Tamandua tetradactyla: one gene and its partners. The protein of the gene in region 2 interacts with the protein of the main gene of each other region in a pairwise test. Links are inferred from orthologs where the notes say so. Each region holds a gene or a part of one and is shown on either strand. Other genes may lie near its edges.

What was found.
Region 1: the proteins of ATN1 (region 2) and WWP1 interact in a two-hybrid assay, tested with the Homo sapiens proteins (2 studies listed by BioGRID and IntAct). The link is inferred for Tamandua tetradactyla from reciprocal best matches to the Homo sapiens genes ATN1 and WWP1.
Region 3: the proteins of ATN1 (region 2) and LENG8 interact in a two-hybrid assay, tested with the Homo sapiens proteins (2 studies listed by BioGRID and IntAct). The link is inferred for Tamandua tetradactyla from reciprocal best matches to the Homo sapiens genes ATN1 and LENG8.

Annotation. Positions count from the first base shown.
Region 1 is NC_135332.1:129,830,002-129,833,746, forward strand, and holds the start of WWP1 (NEDD4-like E3 ubiquitin-protein ligase WWP1), read left to right. Parts: upstream 1-859; 5' UTR 860-1,046; intron 1,047-3,745. UniProt on the Homo sapiens protein: E3 ubiquitin-protein ligase which accepts ubiquitin from an E2 ubiquitin-conjugating enzyme in the form of a thioester and then directly transfers the ubiquitin to targeted substrates.
Region 2 is NC_135333.1:69,229,547-69,233,291, reverse strand, and holds the start of ATN1 (atrophin-1), read right to left. Parts: upstream 2,668-3,745; 5' UTR 2,521-2,667; intron 601-2,520; exon of another isoform or gene 1-600. UniProt on the Homo sapiens protein: Transcriptional corepressor. Recruits NR2E1 to repress transcription. Promotes vascular smooth cell (VSMC) migration and orientation. Corepressor of MTG8 transcriptional repression.
Region 3 is NC_135342.1:5,048,417-5,052,161, reverse strand, and holds the start of LENG8 (leukocyte receptor cluster member 8), read left to right. Parts: upstream 1-1,504; 5' UTR 1,505-1,670; intron 1,671-2,003; exon of another isoform or gene 2,004-2,122; intron 2,123-3,161; exon of another isoform or gene 3,162-3,165; 5' UTR 3,166-3,216; coding exon 3,217-3,254; intron 3,255-3,745.

The DNA of each region.
Region 1 (3,745 bases), on a different chromosome or scaffold from region 2:
AGGTGTCCTGAAGGGGCGGTTCCAGAAGCCATGTTGGGAGGGGCGACACAGCCTCAGCAGCTACAGTTGCAGTGCCCTTCCCCGTTTCCCGGACCTAACACTGTTTTCCGTCTGTGGGAGACTGGGGGAAGGGAGTCTTTCCACTTCTCTAAACCAATTGACTCAATTGTTTCATGGAGATAATCTACCCTACTTTATGGTCTATTAATTGCACAGACACATGTACTTGCCAATTAAGTATTAGCTTCATCACTGGGGTAATGTGGGCCGGGCCCGGGTGGGGTGGGGGGGAAATGAACATTTGAATTACTAATAAAAATGGTCTAGAAGACTTCTGGTTTTATTTACTCTTGCAATGTTCTGTGTCAAACACTCGGTGAAGTCAAGGAATATTTAGGAGCACCTACTTTTGCTACATAGCTTTGGGGAAAGAATGCCACTGCCCGGAGGACCTTCCTTGAGGTCACGCCCCCGGCTCAGCCGCGGACCGGAAAGTCAAGTCAGCAACACCCGCCGCCAGCTGGAAACCTCTTCCCAAATCTCGGCAGCGGCCCCGCCCCTTCCACAGGTTCAGGCCCCACCCCCTTCTCCCATTGGCCACTCCTCCATCTCCACTCGACCACTCCGAAGACCCGGAGTAGCGGAGTTTTCTAAAGGCATCAGTGGGGCGCCCTGGCTGCGCATGCTCGAGGAAAGCCGGATTCCGGGTCCAGACTTGGAGTCTCTGGGCGGCCGCGGCGCAGCGCGCGGTGTCGGGGCGGGCCGGCGGGTGGGGAGACGCGCACTCGGGCCGCGGCGCGCTCCCGCGGAAGGAGGTGTGGGTTGGGCTGGAGGTGGCGCGTGGCCGGGGTGGGGGTGGGGGGAGGGTCGGGAGTCGGCGAGGGCGGTGTGCGGGTTCCGAGTGGCTGCGGGCGGCCTGGGCTGCCGGGGCCGACGAGCCTGCTGTGAGATGGCGATCCTGGGCGCGGAAGGGTGAGAGTGACCCCGCAGGAGGAGGCGCCGCTGCCGTGGCCGTCCGGCCGCCGGGAGCAGACGGCTTCGCGCGGGTAAGGACGGTGCGGGGCGGTGGTGAGGGGCGGGTGCGGGCCCTGAGCCTCCGCGGCGGGCCGGGGAAACCCGCGCCGTGCGCACCCCGGCAGGACCCTCCGAGGGGCTGTCGGTGACGGTCAGTGACGGCCCGCGCCTTCCTGGCTGCCTCCCAGCCCTGGGGCTCCGAGTTTTGGGGGGTGGGGTCACGGGTCTTGCCCCGAGTTGGCTCTGGCGGAGGCCTCTGCTGCTGTTACTGGAGCCGGCAGAAGTGTTTCCGTGACTCTGCAGCCGCAGTTCTCAAGCTTCCTTAGTCTTCTTTTCGCCTCCGTTCTATCTCTTTTCATTTCCCTAACACCTCCTCACCAAACACAAATATTTTGGCTTAACTGCCGGTACCCCTGGTTTCACCGCAATTCCACCGTCTCAAACGAAGGACTCCCAGCCTTAGAACGTCTTCTTCTGACATGTTTTTATCACCCCCTGTTTTTCACTGACTGCAGTTCCCTTTAAAACAGCTCCCTCTTCCACCTTTGTGACCTGGTAGGTCCCTGTGACCTTGCAGTTTTTAACCAGTCCTTATCCCATCTATGACTTAGGACTTCTTTCTTTTTTTTATTTTGTAGTTTGCCCGTTGCTTTTACAACCTTTAAACTATCTTACGCACAACCCTTTCTTTACTCCATCGATATGGAGTTGAGCTTCTTTTGCTCCGATGATTATGTGAGACCTTCGTTACTGAAGTAGTTGTTATTTTGACATTTTTACTTCTTCATCCAGTGGCCTGATTTGGCTTTACAGTTTTTATTTGATGTTTCGTCTTTTTGTGTAGGCTCATGTGCAAAAAGATATGACTTTCTGCTTTAAGGTGCTACGGTTATAGTTATGGAAAAATAATGTCCCATTTTTTTTCCCTTTGGTCTTTTTTACCTGAAGTATCTGGTTTATAATTGTCTGCAGGTTTCTGTGAGAGTTTATACTTATGTATAAATCGACTTTCTTGTCTTATTAAGTCTCTGTATTAAACAAGCAAGATGCAGTGTATTGCACCTTTTAAAAAAAAGAAGGTATTCTTTTAATGTGACTTGTTTTGGCCATTCAGTAGTAAATCAATAGTTAATCGTTTTTAAATTAAATACTTGAGTTGACCAAGTGTTGGGTGCTACTCAAATTGAGACACATAAAGCATGTGGAATAGTTCATTTCTTTGGGATGTTGTTTATTAACATTTTCAAATAAATCTTCCTTTACAGTGCAAAACTGCTTATAAGTGCTGTGACACCACGGTTTTGAAAAGCAGTGATTTACAGTTACATTTTTTTTGAAGCTTGGCATGATAGAGGATGTCTGCCTTGGAAGAGATCCTAATCTTAGCTGTTTACCCCGTGCTGGCTGAATTTTTTTACTTCCTTACACAATTATTAAGTGTTTACTGCAAGACTGTGTGAGGTATTTAGGGAATACAAAGATGAGGATAACAGTCTCTGCCTTCAAACCTTCCACAGACTAGGTAGGTAGATAGTACTACACAAATGCCTCATTTGTCTTTTATTATATAGCTTCGCTTCATAAATGATACAGAAGTCCCCTAAGGACTTCAAAGTCAAAGGAGGTCGAGCTTATTTCATTCAGCAAGGTAAGGCTAGGGAGTTAGGATGCTTCTGGCTTCTGAAGTCTTGGTTTTGAAGGATTACTGTGACTTTGATAGACAGTGAAAGGTAATACACGCAGAGTAAAGGGTCTAAGAGCAGAGTTCATACATTCACAGAGAGACCAGTAATTATGTTTGATGGAACATAAAGTATTTGTACAGGAATAAAGGATGATAAAACTTGAAGTAAAAATTTGGCCCAGTTTATGGATTGCTTGTAATGCCAGGTTTATCACCTTGGATTTAGTAGGCAGTGAGGTTCCAGAGAAGATTTTTGAGTTGGGGATGCAACGACTAAAGCTGTATTTTAGGATTAATCCAGTAGTCGCGTGTGGGGAGGCCTCCCCATTGCTCTCTGTCTGGGCTATAGATAGTGACGTAAGTATCAGAACTGAGGTGGTGATAATGGGAATGGAAAGGAGAAAGGGAGTAGAATAGACCAGATTTGATGATGAAAGAAAGAATGAAGAAAATATAAAATATCCAAGATTCTGATCCAGATTGGTTGGGAGAATGGTGGTAACATTTTGAGCAAAATCTTTGGAAGCTTTAATCCCAGTGCATGTATGTTATTTTACAGCTGTAGTTGTAATTTTGAGACAACTAACCATCTGAGACAACTAACCCTTTGTGAAACTAAAGAAATCAGTTGGCTTGAAAAATTCCCATATGCACCTGTGCTTTGTGGATTGAATTATAGGGAAATCCATACACCACCTGAAGCTCAACCGTGGAACCTGTGGACCAGTGGGTTGGGTGGGGAGGCAGATCTCAGAATGATCTGGGAGCTTTATAAAACAATAGAACTTTTAGGTTCCTCTATCCACACTGATGAAGAACCCCTGCTGTAGAGGGTACCTAGAGATGTAATATCTTATGCTTGTGTTGTACTTCATAGTTTATAGGAATTTTGACTAACATATTCTTTCCTATTATATTATGAAACAGACTAACCCAAGAGGTTAAATGATTTGCCCTTAGTAAACAAGTGGGTAAAGTGGAATCAGGAGTTAGTTAACTGACAGTGATGGTTTTCTTTCTTGTATGAAGATAATATGATTTACCATC
Region 2 (3,745 bases):
CCCTGCCACAGAACCTCTGCACCAAGGCAGTCAGAGCTAGGGGCTCCAAAAGGTCAGAGAAATACAGGTATGCACCTGAAGAAAACAAGCGTAGTGTACCACCTCAACTTTTTAATCAGCTGAGATCTGATAAAATTAGCAATTAGTAACTCTGAAGGAGAAAAGCAGTCATAAAAGAGTAGGCAATACTGGGGATAACAAATGGAGGGGAGGGAAAGGGAGTGGTTAGGACTGGATTGTATTTTTGTTCCCCAACCTGGGACAAGGTTTAGCACCAACCAGCTAAGCTACCCTCCATCTTGCCCTAGGAGTTGCTCACTGTATTATTTATCCAGCACCTCCTAAGTGTCAGCAACACACTAAACACATTCACCTGCATTACCTTATGCAAAGTGAAAAGGCTCAAGACCAGAAGGGGAGTTGGAAAAGGGTTGTGAGAAATAGGAAGAACCCCTCAGCAAGAAGAGGAAAAGAAATTAAGGGAGAAATATGGAAGGATGTCAGAAGGAACACACTGAGTCACAAGGCTTTTTAGGAGGGACCTACAGGGTGAATTTCAAGATTGCTGGCCCAGCCCCCATCATTCAGGACCTGCCAGATTTACCAACCAGTCCAAAGTAACTCCTAGATAACGAGGCAGCCTAGACAAGCAGATAAGGATGCACTGGCCTGAGCAGACTTAGAATCCAGGGTTGTCAGGTGGGGCTCACAGATTAGTTAGTCTATAATCCCCTCATTTTACAATGAAGCCAAATCTCAAAAAGAAGTGATTCACCCAAGGTCACACTTCCTTGGAGGCACAACTAGAAGAGACCCAGGCCTCCTGCCTCCCATTTCAGAGTACTGCACCATTTTGTCCCAAAGCTCTCTGCCTTGGGCCACTCTCAATTGGGATGGGTGGGGACAGCCTGGCCATTCCTACAAAGTCAGGAAAGTAAAAGGTCAAAGGTTAGCTGAGGGAAGCGGTCACCTTGAGTATAATCTGGGAAAGAGGAAAAGGGGTCCTAAGGAAGACAGACTGAAGGAGAAAGTCAAGTTTAAGAAGATGGAAGAATATCATTGCAGAAAAGCAAAAAGACCTGTGTACAAAAAATCCATAGTAGTAAGAGAGGTAGAGGCAAGAAAGAAGTGCCAAAGATGATATAACTTAGGAGCATTTTCATCCTCCTACCATGCCTGGGGGAAGGGACTTGTAGATATACCTGTGACCTGCAAGTAGCATGTCTACCCATTCCAAAAGATTGCTGGATGGAAGGGGGTGCACTCCCCTGGGGAACCTCCTATCAACCAACTAGCAGCACCAGAAACATCCTCCAAAATTCAGTCAAGACCCCTAAGGATTGGGGGCCCTGCTATGCCCTGAGGACATAGCCACAGGCTGAGGGTTCAGTCAAGATTCTGAACCCCCACCTATTGGACATCCCACTGGACCACTGCCATGGCAACGAAATGGCAGAACCCCACCCCACCCCCAAGAGGCCATCCTAGGGGCCATATGGCAGCCAATCTTCCCCTCAGTTGCCAAAGCAACTCCTATCCTCCTACCACCTTTGGGAAAGTAAGCTTAAGGGTACCTTCCCCAGCAGAAACAAGCCCATGCACAAAAATCTTAGAGCTCAAAGCAGTAATGAACCCCCACACACTCTCAGACCACAATCTCTTTCGAATGCTTAGAGGTCTGCCCAGTTGTCTCTCTCTACCTCAACCCTTTCTTCCATCAGTGCCTGTCTTGCCCCTCTTCAGTTTTAAGAGGACCCACACTTCTGGACCCCATTGCCCCTCTCCCAAAGTAACTAAGTCTGGAATTAGAAAAACAGGGTCAAAGGTGACCTAGAGTGGGGGAAAGAAAACTGAACCGAAAGGCACTACCTTCCCCCTCCCACCCCCAAAACCTCGAGTTTTTCCTCTCTAAGAAAGACCTCTTGTTCCTTTCCCAGCGTTTTTCCAGGTCCCGTTCCCTCCTTCATCAGCTACAATCCCTCTCTTTCCACCTACCACACCCCTTCCCCATTTCTCACTTCCCTTCTATTCCTAGCACCCCCAATCTCGGGCCCTGGAACCCAGCCGGACTGCCTGCCTTTAGAGCTTTTCCTGGATCTTTCATGCCCCACCTCGGTTGCCATCTCTCCAGTCATTTCTACCTTCGCCCCAGTACTGCTCACGGGCATCCCTTGGTTTTCCTCTACCAACCCCCCCATCTCAGTATCCCCCCTCTTTTGGTCCGGTGGTCCTGGCTATCCCCTTTGCCCAATCAGCCCTCCTCCTGAGATCCTCCCTTTCCCCCCCACCTTTCTGATCCTCCGGGTGCCCTGGCCCCTATCCCTCCTCGGAGCCAGCCCCACCCTCGGGGCCCCTAGTCTCAAGCCAGGCAGTGCCCGCAGTGGGGGTATCCGATCCGGAAAATAACAAATGGAGGCGGAGGCGGCGGCGGCGGCGGCGGCGGGAGGGGGAGCTAGGACGTGTGGGGGTGGGGAGCCAGAACCCGGGCAGGCCGGAGGCCCGAGAGGCAGCAGATCTTACCTGGTTGTAGCTCGGAACGGCTGGCTGGCTCGGGCGGGATTCGCTGCTCCGGCGCCTCCGGGGGGCGGCGGCCGCCGCTTCCCCGCCCCCCTCTTCTATACCCGGCTTCAGTCGCCGCGGCGGCGGCGGCGGCGGCGGCCCCGACCCCCCCGGAGGGCGGCCCCCATCCCCCCTCTCCTCCCCACCTGGCTCCGATCGCCCGCCGGCCCCAGGAGCAAATCCGGTCCCCGCTCCCGCTCGCGCCCTCCCCTGTCCGGCCGCCTTTCCCCGGCCGCCCGAAACGTCCCCGCCGCGCCGCCGCCCCCGCCCGCGGGCCCTCTGCGCCGCTCCGACCTGCGCCGCCGCCCGCACTCGCGCGATCCGGGCCCCCTCGGCGGCCTCCGCCCGCGGCCCCCCCTCCCCGGGAGGTCGCCGCGCTCGCCCCCTCCTAGCCCCTCCCCGAGGCCAGCGGTCCCCCTCGAAATGGGTCCCGGCCCGAGGCCCCGGCCCGGCGCGGGGCTGCGGGCGAGCTGGGCTGCGCGTCCGGCGACTAGCACAGGAAAGCGGACGGCGAAGGGAGGGAGCTTGGGAGAGGGGGATGGGAGAAGGGAGGAAGAGGGAGAAGGAGGGAGCGCGGAGGAACGGAGGAGAGAGGGGCCAGGAGGGAGACGCGAGGGAGGGAGCGCGAGGCAAGCTGCGAGGGGGGAGAGAGGGGGATCCGGAGAGAGGGAGGCGCTGAGCGAGTTGGCCGAGACCGAGGCCGAGGGGCCGGGGCGCGGGGAGGGGTTCGCGGCGGCGGAATGTGGGGAGCCCGCCGGCCTGGCGCGGGAGGGGGCTGGGCGGGCGGGGCGGTGGTTTTTAAGGGCAGATATGGGGAAGACTGAAGGACTTTGGGGGTGACAGGGTCTGGGGCAGAGGTGAGGTGGAAGTTTGGGGTCCTGGGGTAAGATTAGGGCAATGGGGTTAGACAAGAAAAGATTGGAAAAATACAGGGTCTTCAGGGATCATAGGAATGTGATAAAGAGAGGTGGGAGGAGTTTGGGGTACTGGGGTAGAGATTGGGGTGACAGGATTTGTGGCAGAGATGAAACGGAGGAGTTTGTTGTTGTTGTTGTTTGGGGGGGGGAGGTTACTAATGGGGATTACCAAAGAGAATGAGGTGAAAGTTTGGGGTCAGAGAGGAAAGAAATTGAAAAGATAGAGCCCTATACAGGAGGAAGAGGTTTCTAGAAGAGAATAAAGAATT
Region 3 (3,745 bases), on a different chromosome or scaffold from region 2:
ACGAATATCACGACCTCTCTTTTCCCATCCCCTGCCGGGTCCAATGCAAAGGGCAGGCAAAGGGTAAAGGTGCCTGGGTCACAGTGCAGTTCATAAGTCAGCCTCCGGGCACAGAGGCACGGCAGAGGTTGGCAAAGGTTAGATCTGGAGGAGCAAGCAGGAAAAACAAAAACTAAAATGAGAACACCGGCACAACAGTAGATGAGATGGCGTTCCCATCTGTGCCTAAGGTGCAGCCGGTCTCAGATCTGTGCTGGGTGGCCTGGGAGGAGCTATCTGTAGGATAGCTAGGATATCTGAGGAAACCGAGGCAGGGACCCTTTCGGAAAAGGCACTGCACCCTCATTCCGTGTTTTGCAGGTTCCTCCTCTCAGGACCCAAGCCCTGAGGTCTGCGCTCCAGAAGCCACAGCCTCCAAGCTGCCCTTCTCTGAGGAGGCTACCATCGGGGGAGCTTGGAGGACGGGGCCCCGACTCTCCCTCTCCTCCTCCAGAACCCACTCCCACGCCAACCTCTCAGACCTCCCCTTAAACCACACCCAGCCCTGGCATGGCCTAAGCGCCGCCTAGGACAGATCTGTCCGTGTTATCTGCGTATTGACTGTTCTCCCACCAGATGTCCTGGGAGACAGGGATTTCTCATGGTCACATGATCCCACCCCTAATACCTACCCAACGAGTCAACGAATGAGTGCTCTGCGTGGAATATTATTAAGCCACGGAGGAGAATGAGATAAACCTCTCTCTGTGGACCTGACAGTATGTCTGTGATGCACCGAGAGAACCCAGTTCCATAAGGTTAAGCAATGATTTAAAACCCAGCTGCTACGCACACAGCGATGACATGTAGAGACTGACTCCTGTGCTCCTCACACAACCCCGCGAGGCACTATTATCCTCCTCTCTATAAACAAGGACGCAGGGCAGAGTTCAGGAAGTCGGGCTTAAAAAGGGCTTTAAAAAATGATCAGAAAGAGGACCCGAGTATGTCGATAAGCACTAAGACGCCAATCCCCGGCTCAGCAATAGCACAAAAGAGGACGTGGAGGGGCTTGTGGGGACAGGGGGCTCGGGGGCTTCCCGGGGATCCCAAGTCCGCAGCCCGACACGACGACCACCAGCTCCGCCGCCCTCTCTCCCCTCCAGGCCCCACCGTCCTCTCCCGCCGCCCAGGGCCCCACGACCCACAGCCACGCGCGCCATTCCTGGGTGGAGGCCTCTCCTGACGCCCCCGCTGAGTTAACCATCCTCTCCTGGGCTCCCACGTTATAAGCCATGCCCATCAACCTAGTTCACAGCAAGGAGTAAAGATGGTTACCACCAACCCAGCCCAAACAAGGAAGCCCGGAAGGGAGAAGAGCGCATCAACGACTCACGCCTGCGCGGCGTGTCCCTTCGGGGCCACCGTCCCAGCCCTGCTGGCCCGCGGCGGCCCAGCGCTTTAATATGCGTAGGTGGGAGGCCGGGCTCAGATCCGGCTCGCGGCGCACATTGGCCGGGCAAAAGCGAGGGAGGCGGGGCGCGGCCTCCTCGTGACGTCAGGACGCCGCGGTCCGATCGTCGAAGCCAAAAGAAGAGAAGAGCCGGCCAGGTCGCCGAGCGGTTCCGCTGTCGCGTCGCTATCGCTTTGAGGCACCGCTGACGAGTCCCGGGAGCTCGTGGTCGAGGCAGGTAGGGACGGCGGCGAGCGATGGGGGAGGGGGCGTTTGCTCCCTCAGGGCTTATGCCCGGCGGGCCCCAAGGCCTGCTCGGCAGTCATACCAACAGCCGTGGCGCGTGAGCGTCCACAGGGTGGGGCGGGCAAGGCCGGGCACTGCGCGTGCGCTTCGGAGCGGGAACGCGGGCGGGTCAATGCGCATGCGCCGTGGTCTTCCGCTTTTCATCCCCCCCCCATCCCTGCTCGGGAGTTCTCGGGTCCCGGAGGCGCCCCACCTGCCATTGACAGGACGTTTCCACGAGCAGGGCCGCGTTGCCCCGGGAGACAGGCGTCCCGCGAGCAGCGTTCCTCCCCCCAGGGATCCTGGTGCGCAGGCGCGGCGTGCCCGGGGCGGTGGCTCCCAGGCCGCGCGGCCTCTTCCACCCCGCGCCCTTCTTCGCCTGCCTCGGTCCTGCTGGACGACCAGGTGCTCCCCGGCCGGTCTCCCAGCTCCGTGCTCCCCTCGTGAGGCCCCTCTGGGACCTCGCCCAAGACCCCACCCCCTAGGACTGTCCCCACGGACCCCCTGCTTCCGCCCAGGTTCTGTTTGCTCGCTAGGGCTTCGCCGGGCCCCAGATTCCTGCCCCGTCTCTTCATTTCTCATCGGGCTTCGCCTTTGACCCCACCCCTGTTCCTCCCTCAGGGACATTAAGCCCTCTTCAGTCTCGGTTCCCAAGACCCTCTCTTTCCTTCGGCGCTTACCACCCCACTCTAGTAATAACTTCCTAAAGATGTTTTGCCTGTTCAGCAACCCCGAAGCTTTATCCCCAGGTCCCCAATTAAGAGAATCGATTTCTTTTCCTCTTTCCCAGGCTCATTTCTGAAACCTCCCCTTTACGTTTCTGCTTTGCTCTTAGAGAGCCTTTCTGAAATCAGTCTTTAAAAGCCTAATCAGAACCCTTTGTTTCGCGTGATGTTCCCATCCTGTACTCTCTCACTTTTCCCTGCTTCTAGGGTAACTTGTAGAAATCTTAAAGTTCTCTCTGTCCCAGCCCCTCCCCTTATCTCTCAGTGCTCCTTCATCGGCTTTCCTTTGTATACAGGGTTCCTCCAGAAGTTTCCCCAAGCTTTTGTCCCTAAGGGATCACTCAGACTTTGCTCCTTCGGTTGACCTGTTACTTCTGTTTCCCTCTGAACCTTTGGCTGAAGTTCCCCTGTCACATTCTCCCGACTTTCCTCCAGCCTCTCTCAGGGCTTCCCTCACACCCTTCTCTTTTGTCATACGGATTTCAGACCCTTCCCTCTCCGTTTGGGAAATGCCCTCAGACCTATTTTCAAGTCCTTCCTTTCCCCCCTAGAGCATTTCGGGGAGTACATGGGCGTCCCCTCATACTCCAGCCCTTTCATTCCACACCCAGACTTCAAATGCTTTTCAGATTGTTTGTCTCCGGAGACTTCTCTTTCCCAGTCTCTGGCATGTTTCTCATTTCTTTTTGAGTCTTCCTAATCCCCTCTTTCTCTCGCAGACAGTGAAAAAGCAGTCTGGCTCCCGAGGTCCACCCCTTACGCCCCAGGGTCCAGATGGCGGCCAACGTGGGTGATCAACGTAGCACAGATTGGTTAGTGGGGCTGGAGAGAAAGAGGAAGTAAAACACAGTGTTGTCCTCGGGGTGGGACCTCACACAGGGTGGAGGGAAGTGATGAAACGGATCCCATGATGGGAGGTAGGAGGGGTGGGAGTGAGGCTCTTATCTGCCAGAGGACAAATGGAAACTGGTCGTAGTGTGGAGAGTGGCAACATGCTCTGGGTTCTTATTTTCCACAGTTCGGTGCTAGTGTCAGAATTGTGATGATCTCCTCAAGGGATTATAATTAGGTGGCAACTTCCAACCTTCAGTACTCATTTATCTTTCTGCTGATTTCTCTTTTTTTCCCAAACTGTGATAACCTGATAACTTGGGTAGTGTTTTCAGACAGAGCTCATTAACTTACAAAACACTTGCATGCCAGGTCCTATATTATGTTCTGTGGACATTGGTTATCTTTTTTTTTGTTTGATTTTTGACTGTTCTGTGCCAGGCACTGCCTTTGTGTGTGGTGGGTCGGGCAG